3 linked regions of the Arabidopsis thaliana genome follow. The protein of the gene in region 1 interacts with the protein of each later gene in a pairwise test. Each region holds a gene or a part of one and is shown on either strand. Other genes may lie near its edges.

Region 1 (4,234 bases):
TAGCAAATTAGCATATTACAGGTTTTGGTTATAACAATTACTCGAGCTAGACGTATGATGAAATTCAGCAAACTAGTAGATTTGCTATTATATCTTCCCTTGTGATGATTGTAGTTTTGTCTCTTAATAAAACTAGTAATTAACGTTTCAGAAAACAATGCCCATTTTGGTAATTTCACAGAGATTTATCCAAAGTTTTTAAAGAGATAAGACGATAGAGTTGGACGACCGTCTTCCACCGTTGAATTCTTCTGGAACTGGAGTCCACTGTTTAAGCTTCACTGTCTCTGAATCGGCAAAGGTAAACGTATCAATTATTCTACAAACCCTTTTATTTTTCTTTTGAATTACCGTCTTCATTGGTTATATGATAACTTGATAAGTAAAGCTTCAATAATTGAATTTGATCTGTGTTTTTTTGGCCTTAATACTAAATCCTTACATAAGCTTTGTTGCTTCTCCTCTTGTGAGTTGAGTGTTAAGTTGTAATAATGGTTCACTTTCAGCTTTAGAAGAAAATGGCATCAGGAGGTAAAGCCAAGTACATAATCGGTGCTCTCATCGGTTCTTTCGGAATCTCATACATCTTCGACAAAGTTATCTCTGATAATAAGATCTTTGGAGGCAAGTTCTGCTCAAGATTTATCTAGTTTTGTGTGTGTTTTCAAGTTAGGGACGATCTTAATGGTTATCTTCTTGTGAAAATTTCAGGGACTACTCCAGGAACTGTCTCTAACAAAGAATGGTGGGCAGCAACGGATGAGAAATTCCAAGCATGGCCAAGAACCGCTGGTCCTCCCGTTGTTATGAATCCCATTAGCCGTCAGAATTTCATCGTCAAGACTCGTCCGGAATGAGAAAATAATAAGTTCAATGCTTTGATTTTCAGAATAAGATGAACGATGACGATGTTTTCTAAATCCGAGCTTGTACTAAATAACAATACATTACAACACGGTTTGCGGAACTACTCCACAGTCTATCTTCTGTTAAAAAACTCAAACAAGCTATTGCAAAAAGCCCTTACGAGACTCACAAGTCCTAAATATCAACAAAACAAAGCTTCTTTGGATCCTTTTCACTTGCCATCATCTTTTCCTTGTCCATCTGCTCCATCTTGCTTTCCTCCTCTAAGCCCCACTGTTAGCAAAGAAAGAAGTAATGGATACAAGTTACAATTTATGAGATTGAGTATTGTCTTAATAATGTAAAGAGAGTTACCGTTTCCTCCAAGACCGGTTTCTGGTTGTTGCATCGCATGCTGCATCCCGTTGTTGGTCATACCCATTGGTCTAATCCCCATGTGTCCTTGCATAGCTTGCTGATGTATCTGCTGCTGCTGTTGCGGATCCTGAAACTGGAGTGGGCTACCAAACTGTAAAGGACCCCTTGGAGCGAAAATCCCTGCAGGGGATGCTTGTGGGTGTTGCATGAAGTAGCTAGGTGGTTGCATCCCAGAATGCGGTGTTGCCATCTAACAGAAATCATACCCAACAGTAAGCAAACCCCCAAACAACATTAAATTTCTGTGATAGATCGCAATTGAGTTTTATCATCACAAACAACCTGGGCAGCGACAGCTGTAGATGGTGAAGGTCCTGGCGTAGGTGGTGGGGGTTGAGCATCAGCAATTGCAGCAAGATACATCAAGTTCTTCTGGAGAAGAGCTTGGTACCTGAAAATATAACAGAGCAAAAGATAGAATAACTATATAAACCTCACCATTAATAATAGTAATTCTAAGCTTCCATTACTATCTAAGAGACATAAGAAGATGGATAGAAAAGGTGAGACTTACTGGGCGCACTCAGCAAGTTTACCGAGATTCTGGTTTTCCATGATGGCCATAATCAGCTTCTTGTTCTCATCAAGGTACTGCGTTTAAGCAAAGGAAAGAGAATGACAAGGAAATGACGATGCAGCCTATCATCTTACCATGGAAGACATCAAGCCAAGAGAAAGTACAAAACAACAACATCAAGCAAGCATCTAACTTCAATGTCCATTCTTGAAAACCGGATTCAAAGTTTCCTGACCCACCAAGCATCTACTAATTTCCTAGTCCTAGAAACTGTCTCTTCTCATCATCACCAACAACAGACTCTCAAGTGTTGTGGAATTAACGAGAAAGATTCAAATGAAAACCCTAATTGCCACCAATTACAGTCAAAAGAGTATTACTTGCACTCAGAAGCCAATGATTTTGTCAGTACAAAAAAGCTCTAAGAGCCTCCTAAGTAGTGTTGAACAAATTAAGAGAGAGGGAGAGATATAGGGTGAGAAAGAAGGAACCTTTTGGATCTGTTCGGTAGTGATGTTGTTAGCAGGGGGAATCGACGGAACCATCGGAAACATTTGCGGAGACTGCTGCTGCTGCATCTTCTTCTTCTTTACTACTTACTTTGCCCCAACTAAACCCTAATTTCGTCTTCCCCAAAAAACCCTCGACAAAACCCAGACCGATCCAAACGCAGGAAATGATTGCAAGCTATATCTATATATATTATAGAGAGAGAATCCTGCAATTTATTACTTGGATTCACCTGGATGTCGAACCACCTCTGTGTGGATTTTATGACCAAAAATGCCTCTGTCTCTCTCTCTCTCTCTCTAATTTGTCTTTACAAAACTCTAAACGAAAACATAAAACATTAATTAATACAGCAACGAGCAACCTCTAACCAAATTAGAAAGTTTTGGATATATTTGGGCCAATGGGAAAAAAGGACATATTTGGGCCTAAGACGGTTCTAAGGCCCATGGACCATCGAGAAAGTTACATTGCAAAGTACTACATTGAGTCAGTTTCTTCCTTCTTCGCCTAAATTCGAAATTTCGAAACCTCAGACACACTTACAGAGAGACCAAACGGTAACATACAGTAGCTTCTTTTTCTTATTCGTTAAGAAATCTCACGTAAACCCTTCGAATTTCTCAAATCTTCACTCGGAATCTGAAAAAAAATGGTGAGTGATCTCCCGCTTGATGAAGATGATATCGCTCTCCTCAAGAGTCCTTATGTAAGCACCCCTTTTAGAAGAAACCTTTAATTTATTTTTTCTCGAATTTTAGTCTTTACTCGGATGTCGCTTGTGATACGTTAGAGAACAATTTGATATTTTTTACTGTGTAATTAGAACAAATTATGTCTTAATTGGTCTTAGATAACCTTAAATTGGTCGATTTAGTTCAATTTTGTGTAAACACTCTTACTTGGATTTATCTTCTTCTCTATCTTAGATAGGTGAAATTGTTGAAGAAATTGGCTTTGTGAGAGAAAAGCGCATTGCTCATTGTATTGTTCAGTGTGATGATGGTGGTGATGAGGACGTCAACTCTGCTCCAAACATTTTCACTTATGATAATGTGCCTCTTAAGAAGCGCCACTACCTTGGGACAAGTGACACTTTCAGAAGCTTTGAGCCGTTGAACGAACACGCATGTATTGTATGCGATATTGCAGACGATGGTGTAGTACCTTGTTCTGGGAATGAATGCCCTCTCGCTGTTCACAGGAAGTGTGTTGAGCTTGATTGTGAAGATCCTGCAACCTTTTACTGTCCCTATTGTTGGTTTAAGGAGCAAGCTACTAGATCCACGGCTTTGAGAACAAGGGGTGTTGCAGCTGCGAAGACCCTTGTTCAATATGGATGTAGTGAGCTGAGGAGTGGAGATATAGTCATGACGAGAGAAAACAGTCAACTAGAGAATGGTTCTGATAATTCACTACCAATGCAACTACATGAGAACCTTCATCAATTACAAGAACTGGTCAAGCACCTTAAGGCTCGAAATTCCCAGTTAGACGAGTCAACAGATCAATTCATTGATATGGAGAAATCTTGCGGAGAAGCTTATGCTGTTGTTAATGATCAGCCAAAAAGGGTACTATGGACAGTCAACGAAGAGAAGATGTTGAGGGTAAAACCACCACACTTTTTTCTTGAAATACACTTTTAGCTTAAACTTATAGTATATGTTTATTTTGGATAGGAGGGAGTGGAGAAATTTTCTGATACAATCAACAAAAACATGCCTTGGAAGAAGATTTTGGAGATGGGAAAAGGTATATTCCACACAACTCGTAATTCCTCCGATCTTAAGGACAAATGGAGAAATATGGTGCGTATGTGATTCCTTTCACCATAAAATCCTTAGAAGTATTAAATGACGCATTTGATATCAAAAACATTAAGACAAATCCTAGTGACCTTTTGAATTGGCAGTATAGTAG
Region 2 (4,969 bases), on another chromosome or scaffold:
AGTGTTTAGGACGCGTTTTTGTTTGGTATGACCAAAGATGAGCTGGTTTTAATCTGGACCTTATTCCGTTCACAGAATCTTCGGTGGCAACATGCTTTTAAAAATTCTCAGCATACATATTTTATACGTATGAGATTTATATTAAAAATATAAGATTAATGTTGGTAATGACCAATGATTCCAAGTACTCATACGCACGTAAAAGGATTAATGGATCAAGAGTCATGACGTTTTGTCTTTTAACTCTCCCATCTTTCCTTTTGCTAAAGGAGCACATACATGGAAGGAAGCATACACCAAAAGTTGTATATGATTGTTTGTTTTCTATAAACGACAACAAAATTTATGGTTCTTCTTCTTATAATAATAAGTTTAATGTTTTGCCATATTATGTAGAGTTTTGACCATACTCTCGTTTCGTAAATGCGTGATTCAAGACTTGGGCCTATGTAACGTCATTTCATAACCTGCGGATAATCTCAACATACAGCCATTTAGATAGTAATTGATTATTTGTGTCTGTGTTTACATATAAAACTTTAACTAATTGCGGATAATCGTATCCTTTGCCCTACAGAATTTGCAACCTAGTCTACTATTATTCCTCTGCATGAATGTTTTACATTTAAAGTAAGTTAATCAGAACATGGCCTTAGAAAAAATCTAGATTATATGTGTGAAACTATATAGATGCTTGCATCCTAAGAAACAAATAAATTATATATAACGATACCCCTCACAAATCAAGTCATGTTTTCTTTTGTTGCTATCAGCGACAGTAAAATAAAATCTGATTTCTTGAGAAAGCAAGAGAACACATACAGATATATCTGTCGGATCACTTTTTCTTGTTGGACCTAACACACATAGAAAAAGATAGAAAAAATACATATAGGATTCTGCAAACAGTGTCTTGTCTCATTGTTCCACGGAAATAGATGTGAAATGTGACTCTTCTTCAACATTTCACAGTTGTGTGTGTTGGTGCAGATCCATCATTGATGCCAGCTCTACTTAATTAGCTACCTGAGAAAATAAATTTAAACTAATTTTGAAACTATCAATAATTAGCATAGATCATAAGATTACGTCTGCAGATTAATTAATTACCAGTGTCGAGTCTTGAGTGGGAAGAAAGGTCAAGCCAAGAATCTGAACTGTTCTTGTTCTGTGCCCAGTCCTCACCAAAGAAGTGATGTAGAGACTTCTTGGACGACTCTGATGAATCTTTCTCATCTTCTTCTTGATTTTGATCTTGTCTTGATGAGTTTGCAAGGACACTTCTTGTAGGTTTGTTGAACATGTCGGCGCCCAAAACAAAACACTGTTGCTGTCTATGATCATGATCATGATGAAGATGTTGAGATGATGATGAGGATGAGTATGTGTGATGATGATCAATCTTATTATGATCAGTACTACAGTGGTGGTACGGATCATTCATCACTGTTGCTAACGGTTGTTGGTGATGATGGTATGGAGAATCTTGAAAGCTTCTAGATGCTTCTGGAAAGAACGTTCTCTCCCCAACTCCTCCAACTCTCTCCCCAATCCCTTGAAAGTACCTGAATTCAAAAAACAATCCATCAATAAAAGTTTCCATAAAAGATCAACAAGAGAAACTAAAGATAAGATCACAGAACCTGAAGTCTTTGTGGTCAGTAGCAGAGGCTAAGACATTGAACTGAGAAGTAGAATTAGTATTTTGATGAAGTGACAAAGCGGAAGCATGATGAAGAGTTTGTTGTTGTTGTTTGGGTGAAGTAGAAGGATAAGGATAATCAAGAGAATGGCTGTTGAAATAACCTCTAGTGTTACTACTACTTCCACCAAGCCCAAACCTATTACTGTTACTGTAGGCATCCATTGAAGAAGAAGAAGCAGAATAAGTAGTAGAAGAGGAATTAGAGGAAGAAGAAGAAGACAAGGTGGGACTTGGGTTGTTGTTGTTGGTGAATGAGAGAGATGGTGATGTTAAAGGAGTTGTTGTTGTCTGATTCTGATCAAGAGATTTTCTGGCACGGTTTCTTCCTCTGTGCATGTGTTTTTCACAGTACTTCGAATCTGGGTAAGCTTCTCTTGAGCATCTCCATTTCTTACCATCTGTTCTTCTGCATCTTCCTGGCTCTGGATCTGGTTTTCTCCCAAATCCCATCTGGTAACACCCCCATCCAACTGCATCATTTAATTAAAACGAAACCCTAAAATTAATCATGATGTAAAACCCTAATTAGGACCTTAAGTTCCAAAATCATTAAAAGTAAGACTGTGGAAACTGAGTTTTTAAAAGTGGTCGTTGAAAAAAAAAGCTAGAGACTTTAACCAGAAACCAAATCACTCTAAAACACATAAAGCTGAAAACTTTGGGGGCATGAGAATCAACAAAAGATTGAAACTTTATGCAAGAAAAGAAAACATGAAAGAAAGAAAATTAAGTATAGGTATAGGGCTTACGGGATTGGTGAGGAAGGAGTCTAGAGACCAAGGAAGTGTCCAAGCTTCTTCTAATGGAGAAGATGAGCTCAGGTGGGACAGGAACACCAGAGACCATGTACTTGTAGATTAGGGCTTGATGTTCCAGTTCTTCCCATTGTGTTGGTGTAAATGGAGGCCTTCCTATTGTTCTCCCGCTACTTCCACTTAGACTCATCATCTTATTCTCTAGCTTTCTTCAGATAGTTTATATATGTAGCAAATTCAGAAGCATAAAAGAAGGAAGAGAAAGAGCTTTCTTGATGGATTCAGAGATTAGGGCTCCTGAGTTTCGGACAGAGACAGACAAAGATGACCACTTTCTCTGTCACTCTTTTCCTCTGGTTTGATATCTCTCTCTCTCTCTCTCTCTCTCTCTCTCTCTCTCTCTCTCTTTCTAAGCATATATTCCTCAGATGCAAATTGCATGAACACTAGCTAGGTTCTTTCTCTACACGAGGCCACTCCCTCTTTTATATATATACCCTACTTTTTTGTATTGAGGAAAGATAAAAGATTATTACACAATAGAGATTACTATACAATTAGTCACACTCTAGTAGGGTTTATTTTGGGGGGAATGGTAATCAGAAAGTTAATAAATCAAAGAGTGATCACAAAGAAGAGAGAGATATTTAGACAGTGTTGAAAAGAAAAAAGAATCACATCAGGACAAGAGCTTTTAAGGAGTTTTGCCATGTAGTGTAAAATCAAAACAACATTAAAATATCCAATATTGTAAAATGTAAAAATAGATAAAATGTATGTAAGGGGGATGAAGAAGAAGAGTGTGGTCCTATAAAGACTGGCAAATCTGAAGAGACTCAGGCCCAGTGTTCCTGTTGCTTCTTCTGCAGCACTTGATGCTCCTGTCTCTCTGACTACTCTTTCCTCTCTTCTCAATCCTTTCTTCATCTTATTTTTCAAAATTTAAGTATTTTTTGAAATTATGTGTATTTTTTTCTATAAAAGTGCATTGATTTTTGGGAATCTTTTTTATTTATTTTTTCCTTTGAGCTGACGCCTTTTTAATTTCAGCTGTATCCCAACACTTGATGGCCTAAAAATGAGTGCCATTTACCTTTTTATTGAGCTCATTTTTTTATTTATTACATTTAGTGAGCTCTGTTATTACTGTCTAAAAGACAGAGGAAAATCAGATAGATGCAAGAAGAACAGATAGATGTTAAAAAAAAGAAAAAAAAAAAGAAGAAGGAAATACGAGTATTTATGAAAAGAATTCGGAATAAGCTTCTTGTATCATCACTGCACGAATCTCTGACTCGGGAGAAGAAACCAAACTTATATGCTGACTTGAAAAAGAGTAAGATTATTTTACAGTTTCTGACGACAATACAAAAGAGAGATTTTTACTAAATTTTCACATTTTCTTCTTAACATCTTTTACATAAGTTGGCAAAATGGTAAATAAGAAAGAAAGAAAAGGGTGTTTAGATGAGAAATAGAGAGCAGGGGAGAGACCATTGGATAAAGAAGGGGACTAGGTTTGTTTGGTTGCAAGTGAAGTGAAAGTACTTTTGTCCTTTTTATATAAAAAATGTTAGATATTTTGTCGTTTTTATTATGTATTTTTTTCGGCATTGGTTTTTACTGAAGAAAAGTTTTCGGAATAAAAAAGAAGAGGAAGACATGTGAAGAATCAGAAATATACAGAGAGGGTTGGGTTCATTAAGTGCATAGAAAAAAAAAAGAGTAAGACTGTTCACTCCTCTGTTTGTTTCTCTGTCTCTTTTCACATGCTCTGTCCTTTTCTCTCCTTTTTTTGAAGCCCCCTAGATCTTTCTCCTTACACACCTACTACTACTATCTACCATTCTTTTACATGCACATCTATAAAGGTTTTATATCTTATGTACATATACATGATACATACATATACATGAGCTGATGAGCATCGACTTTAGGGTTTGAATGATTTTACATAGTGGATGAAACAAACTAGTACAATTGATAACATTGCGTAATAGTAGAATGATGGGATATAGTAAAAAAGTTGATAATTATCGCGATTTCTACAAATTTTTGTAATTAGCAAATACTAATTCAATCATTTGGCGATTACAAATTATATCCTTTCTTCAGTACAAAATAATACATATGTAATTGGTTAATATATAGCTAGTGAAGATCAACCCAAGAAAATAAAGATGGTTACCTTGCGATGACCACGTACTTAAACAAAATGGTGTTCACGCGATAAACCATCATCCTAAATACTTTTGATTATATACATCACCTTCTAAATTGGTTCGAAAATGATATGCATGCGTATATGGAGATATGTAAGATGGTACCTACACATATTAGTTAGAGCTCCACTCTTGTTGGTTGGTCAAAGATATATATGATCATAATCATGGTGATTAAGCTATGAAGAAGAAGGTGGAAAGACCTTTGGACCAAGGGATATTTCCATTTTAGTGCATAAATTTCCATTTTAGTCACTCATCTGTATCATCATCATCTATTCTCTTCT
Region 3 (4,871 bases), on another chromosome or scaffold:
ATGAGGTATGTGTGTATGGTTATAGTTTTTGCATTGAGAACTCAGGATATGCATCATTGGTATTGTCATATACTTGCAGGGGAGATTGAAAATTGCTGACTTTGGATGGTCAGTTCAGTCAAGTAACAAGAGGAAAACAATGTGTGGAACCTTGGATTACTTAGCACCTGAGATGGTAGAAAATAGAGATCATGATTATGCAGTTGATAACTGGACCTTAGGCATACTGTGTTACGAGTTTCTCTACGGTAACCCTCCATTCGAAGCCGAGAGTCAAAAAGATACATTCAAGAGGTAAGAAAAGACTAGACTTTTTATCTTTTGTAGAAAATTACAGAAGCTCAGCTCCTGATGACGTTTTGTATTCACTGTCATGCAGAATTCTTAAGATTGATCTGAGTTTTCCTCTTACACCGAATGTTTCAGAAGAAGCCAAAAATCTTATCAGTCAGGTACACACCCAACCAAGCTAAAGCATACCCACAACGACTCTCTTGCTTGACTAGTTATTAAGCATTAACATATAGTTGTTTTAAATCTTTTGCAGCTTCTTGTTAAGGATCCCTCCAAACGACTCTCTATTGAGAAGATCATGCAACATCCATGGATTGTCAAGAACGCAGATCCGAAAGGTGTGTGTGCCTCAATTGATATTTGATGTATTCTCTCCCAATCTCAGGAGTCAGGACAAGTAGCTTATATGTAATTTAATGTTATGAGACTAATGTCTTAGAAGTTTAGCAAAAGCACTTTCCATGTGATATATTATCTCATTTCAGCACAATATAATCTTAGCTAAAATTCGTGTCTCGATATTTTTTTGTGATTTGACTTCTTCTAACATCTAACACAGAAAGATCCTTAGATTGAAACTAAAAACATCATTTGAACCTCGACAACATTTCTATGTTTCTAAACACCTGGTGAAAACAAAGACAAGTACTCCTCATCGTCGTCTTCACCCCTTAAAGCTGTGTCAGTAATGGTAGTGTCGGTACTGCAACTGCTAGTGCTCTTCTCATCAGAAACTCGGGGCAGTGTAATTCCCATGACTGAAACAGAATGCTTCTGGTCATCTCCATCTTTGCAAGGCACAACCGATCTAACAGCTGTTTCCACGGTTAACGGGCTAAACCCGGCATTCTCATGTGAGTTAGTAGTATCAACTGGATGCTTCTTCTTCATACCTCTATGCATGTGCTTATCGCAGTACTTCTGACCAGACAAAACATCTTTGCTGCATCTCCACTTCTTCCCATCTGTTCTTCGGCACCTTCCTGGTTCATTGTCTGTTTCAACTCCTTGTAAACGAAAACAACCACGTTCTACAACGAAGAAGCAAGATATAAGACCCAGAAGGTCATGTCTGAAAATCCCTATGAAATGACGATAAGCCAAGGTTGCAAAGGTAAAATACCTTGAAGAACAGTGTCTGGAGAAAAGTGGATACCATGAAACAAACCACCATTAACATTCATATTCTTCCATTCTCTGCTTCTTGCAATTATATCATTCTTCCTGTTGCTTGAGAATTTTGCAGCTTCTAAGCATTTATCAGATACCTCAGGGAAGAACTTTTGAACCGAAGGTTTGCTCTCATCACCTAGTAATGAAATAATGGAACCTGGTCAATCCATGGAGCAATGAAGAAATGAATTCTATAGATATTTTTCTGTTGTGAGTATGATGGTATCATGATACCTTGAAGAGGAACAACTCCAACACACATACTCGCCTCTTTTTCATTAATAAAGTCATCATAACTCATCTCCATGTTCTTTCTGCCGTGACTCACACTTTTGTTTGTGAATTCAGAGATCACTAAAGACGGACGAATGACATTTTCACAGGATCTGGCACTAGGCAGTGAAGCAATGGTAACTACCTGCGCATTACTAGAACCCGAGATTGTCCCATGAAGATGACTCTGACTCTCGTTATACCTATCCAAACCATAAGTGTTGTCGTATTTGGTTGATGATGAAGCAACCTCAGAAGAAGATTCCACAAGCTTTCTTGAACGTTTACGACCTCTATGCATGTGCCGTTCACAGTACTTCTCGAATAGAAGGACCGTGTTGCTACAGCGCCATTTCTTCCCATCTGTTCTCCTGCACCTAGTTGGTTCAGTTTCCAACGTGTCGATATGGGTTACTCCCTTGTTACTCAACACTGCAACTCAATCCCCAATAGGCACAAAATCAAATTCAGTCAACAGAAGTTTGTTGTGTATGTAAATCTTTTAACTTCTCCAACTCAGAACCCAAAAGCCAAAAACATGTTCAGGAAGTTAAATAAGCACAATAAAACCCATCAAGCATTTCCACAACAATACCCCAAACTTTACAACTGTTGAATCAGAACATAAACTTCTCTAGATTCTGAGGTCCAAGACTTGTCGTTATGTTGTCTAAAATCTTCTAAATTGTGTCTTTTTCTTACCCTAGCTCAACTATCACGCATATACTCCTAAGAATTTCTTGAAAAGAAAACTCGAATGTCAAATTACTTACGAGAAGAAGAGTGATAGTTGTAATTGGAGGAAGAAGAGAGAGCAAGACTGTTCCAAATAGGCACCACGAGATGATGAGGCACACGGAGACCAGCCTCTATGTATCTATACACCAAAGCTTGCATCCGAAACTCCATTAACTGCGCCGCCTTCATCCACGGCCACTTATTCCTCATCCTCTCCTCCTCAACCTCCTCCTGCTCCATTTTAGGGCTCTGCATCTTCATAACAAAAATTGGATTTTTGGGGAAGCTTTATTCAATTCCAAGAAAAAGGAGACAGCTTTTGAAACTAGCGACACAGAGAAGCAAAAACCCACCTCCCAAGAAGAAAAAGCTTTAACAACAAAACCAAACAGATACTAAAATCTCTTGCTCTGCTCGCTACTGTTCAATAGAGAGAGAAAGAGTAAAAGAAAAACAGAGGAAAGACGAAGAGGCGAGTGTGAAGAGATTTAAAGGCAGTTGTCAGGTTTCTGACAAATGCGTCAGCGTTTTTCAGCCTTATTTGAATACTTTTCGGACAATAAAAAAAGTTGAGTTTCCCTCTTTAAACAATGCCACAGAGAGACTGTTAACTCCTCTGTCCAGCTGCTCCACTATACATCATTACATCTCCACGTTCTTATTCCTCTATATGGGCCCATCTTATCATAAAAGGCCCATTACTACTACTCCATTAAGTTGGGCTCTACTCTTCTTCTTTTTTTTTTTTTTTTTGCTTTAATGATTCAAAATTTGTTGCTTCTCATTGGCCTTTACTTATAACATTTCTCTTTCACCTGATGCCTTTTCATCTTGGTCACATTTTTGTATTTCTAAAATCTATATTTTTCAGTAGGCAGGAAAATAAAAACAGAGCAAAATACTTTATTTTTATTTATAGTATATAAGGAAAGTTTGATCATGTAATGCTTGTATCATATACTCACTCACTAGTGGTTTTTTAAATATTGTCCACACGTGTAAAGTAATGCTTTAACAGCTCTAAAAATTCCTATAATGGGAAGCAGTGATTCAATATTGGTCCTCACCGAATTGTGGATAATTCTATTTATATGTAGAACATGAACGTCGGCAACCGAAATAAATATATAGAATTTGAATCATACATATTATACTGTAGATGATTACATAATATCAATACTTTTATATTTATATGTATTGGTCTTTATATATTGTTTTCTACTATACGAAATGTCAGGTTTGAATCATTGTTGAGTAAGATACATATTGTATTGGTCACTACACCAATCCACAAACAATTTATGGTATATAAAACATTTTCGATAACAAAATAGATAGCATTACTGAATACACTGACCACCACATATAAAACTCGACACTATTGATCAATTTAGATGAAGAAAACGAGAAACAATCTCCAGTGTTTTATTTAGGCCAAACAAATATCTAAGAGTAAAAAGAAGCCCAAATCTCTAATTTTTTGGTGTAATATAAACAACAAGACAATTAAATGGAATGGCCTCTTTTCTTCTTCCAGCTATGTCCGAAAAAGAACACATGGCCCCAATCCAACCCAACTCACTTCTTATAAACAACACACATTTCAAAAATATAAAGGCAAAATTAACTCTAGTCAAATACTCTAACCTAACCATGATCAAAATTTAACCGTGGTTAACAATCATCCTTCTCTTTTAACTTCATCTCTCTTCTCACTCAGTCTTCTCCACTTCCTCTGCTCCACACTGACACTTGAAAAAACTCAAAACCGTCTCATCATGGCGGCGTCACAGACATTCTCACTCCTCGCCTTCACTTTCTCCCTCCTCGCCTTTGCTTCCACCGTGAGTAGCCACAACATCACTCAAATCCTCGCTGATTCTCCAGATTACTCTTCCTTCAACAGCTACCTTTCTCAGACGAAGCTCGCCGACGAGATCAACAGCCGCACGACGATTACAGTTCTCGTCCTTAACAATGGCGCAATGTCTGCTCTCGCCGGAAAACATCCACTCTCCGTTATTAAAAGCGCTTTAAGCCTCCTCGTCCTCCTCGATTACTACGATCCACAAAAACTCCACAAGATCTCCAAAGGCACAACTCTCTCCACCACACTTTACCAAACCACCGGAAACGCTCCCGGAAACCTAGGATTCGTCAACATCACCGATCTTAAAGGAGGCAAAGTCGGATTTGGCTCCGCCGCTTCAGGTTCCAAACTCGATTCATCTTACACCAAATCCGTTAAACAAATCCCTTACAACATCTCAATCCTCGAGATTGATGCTCCGATCATCGCTCCCGGAGTTTTAACCGCTCCTGCTCCTTCCGCCTCCTTGTCAAACATCACCGGATTACTCGAAAAAGCCGGTTGCAAAACCTTTGCTAATTTG

Evidence for each region.
Region 2: the proteins of GIF2 (region 1) and GRF5 interact in binary tests that used the Arabidopsis thaliana proteins (3 or more experiments, as listed by UniProt).
Region 3: the proteins of GIF2 (region 1) and GRF9 interact in binary tests that used the Arabidopsis thaliana proteins (3 or more experiments, as listed by UniProt).

The regions. Positions count from the first base shown.
Region 1 is NC_003070.9:70,728-74,961, reverse strand, and holds GIF2 (GRF1-interacting factor 2), read right to left. Parts: upstream 2,606-4,234; 5' UTR 2,380-2,605; coding exon 2,293-2,379; exon of another isoform or gene 2,048-2,292; coding exon 1,946-2,047; exon of another isoform or gene 1,876-1,945; coding exon 1,799-1,875; intron 1,676-1,798; coding exon 1,567-1,675; intron 1,475-1,566; coding exon 1,222-1,474; intron 1,141-1,221; coding exon 1,079-1,140; 3' UTR 866-1,078; downstream 1-865. Other genes in the region: AT1G01170 (ozone-responsive stress-like protein (DUF1138)), read left to right, coding at 519-624, 712-857; AT1G01150 (Homeodomain-like protein with RING/FYVE/PHD-type zinc finger domain-containing protein), read left to right, coding at 2,964-3,020, 3,241-3,921, 3,994-4,122. UniProt on the Arabidopsis thaliana protein: Transcription coactivator that plays a role in the regulation of cell expansion in leaf and cotyledons tissues.
Region 2 is NC_003074.8:4,606,210-4,611,178, reverse strand, and holds GRF5 (growth-regulating factor 5), read right to left. Parts: upstream 3,104-4,969; 5' UTR 2,654-3,103; coding exon 2,455-2,653; intron 2,176-2,454; coding exon 1,644-2,175; intron 1,566-1,643; coding exon 1,111-1,565; intron 1,027-1,110; coding exon 1,019-1,026; 3' UTR 682-1,018; downstream 1-681. UniProt on the Arabidopsis thaliana protein: Transcription activator that plays a role in the regulation of cell expansion in leaf and cotyledons tissues.
Region 3 is NC_003071.7:18,743,445-18,748,315, reverse strand, and holds GRF9 (growth-regulating factor 9), read right to left. Parts: upstream 2,977-4,871; 5' UTR 2,740-2,976; coding exon 2,514-2,739; intron 2,173-2,513; coding exon 1,702-2,172; intron 1,604-1,701; coding exon 1,418-1,603; coding exon of another isoform or gene 1,377-1,417; exon of another isoform or gene 1,326-1,376; coding exon 913-1,325; 3' UTR 682-912; downstream 1-681. Other genes in the region: AUR3 (ataurora3), read left to right, coding at 1-5, 80-294, 380-452, 548-658; FLA8 (FASCICLIN-like arabinogalactan protein 8), read left to right, coding at 4,257-4,871. UniProt on the Arabidopsis thaliana protein: Transcription activator that plays a role in the regulation of cell expansion in leaf and cotyledons tissues.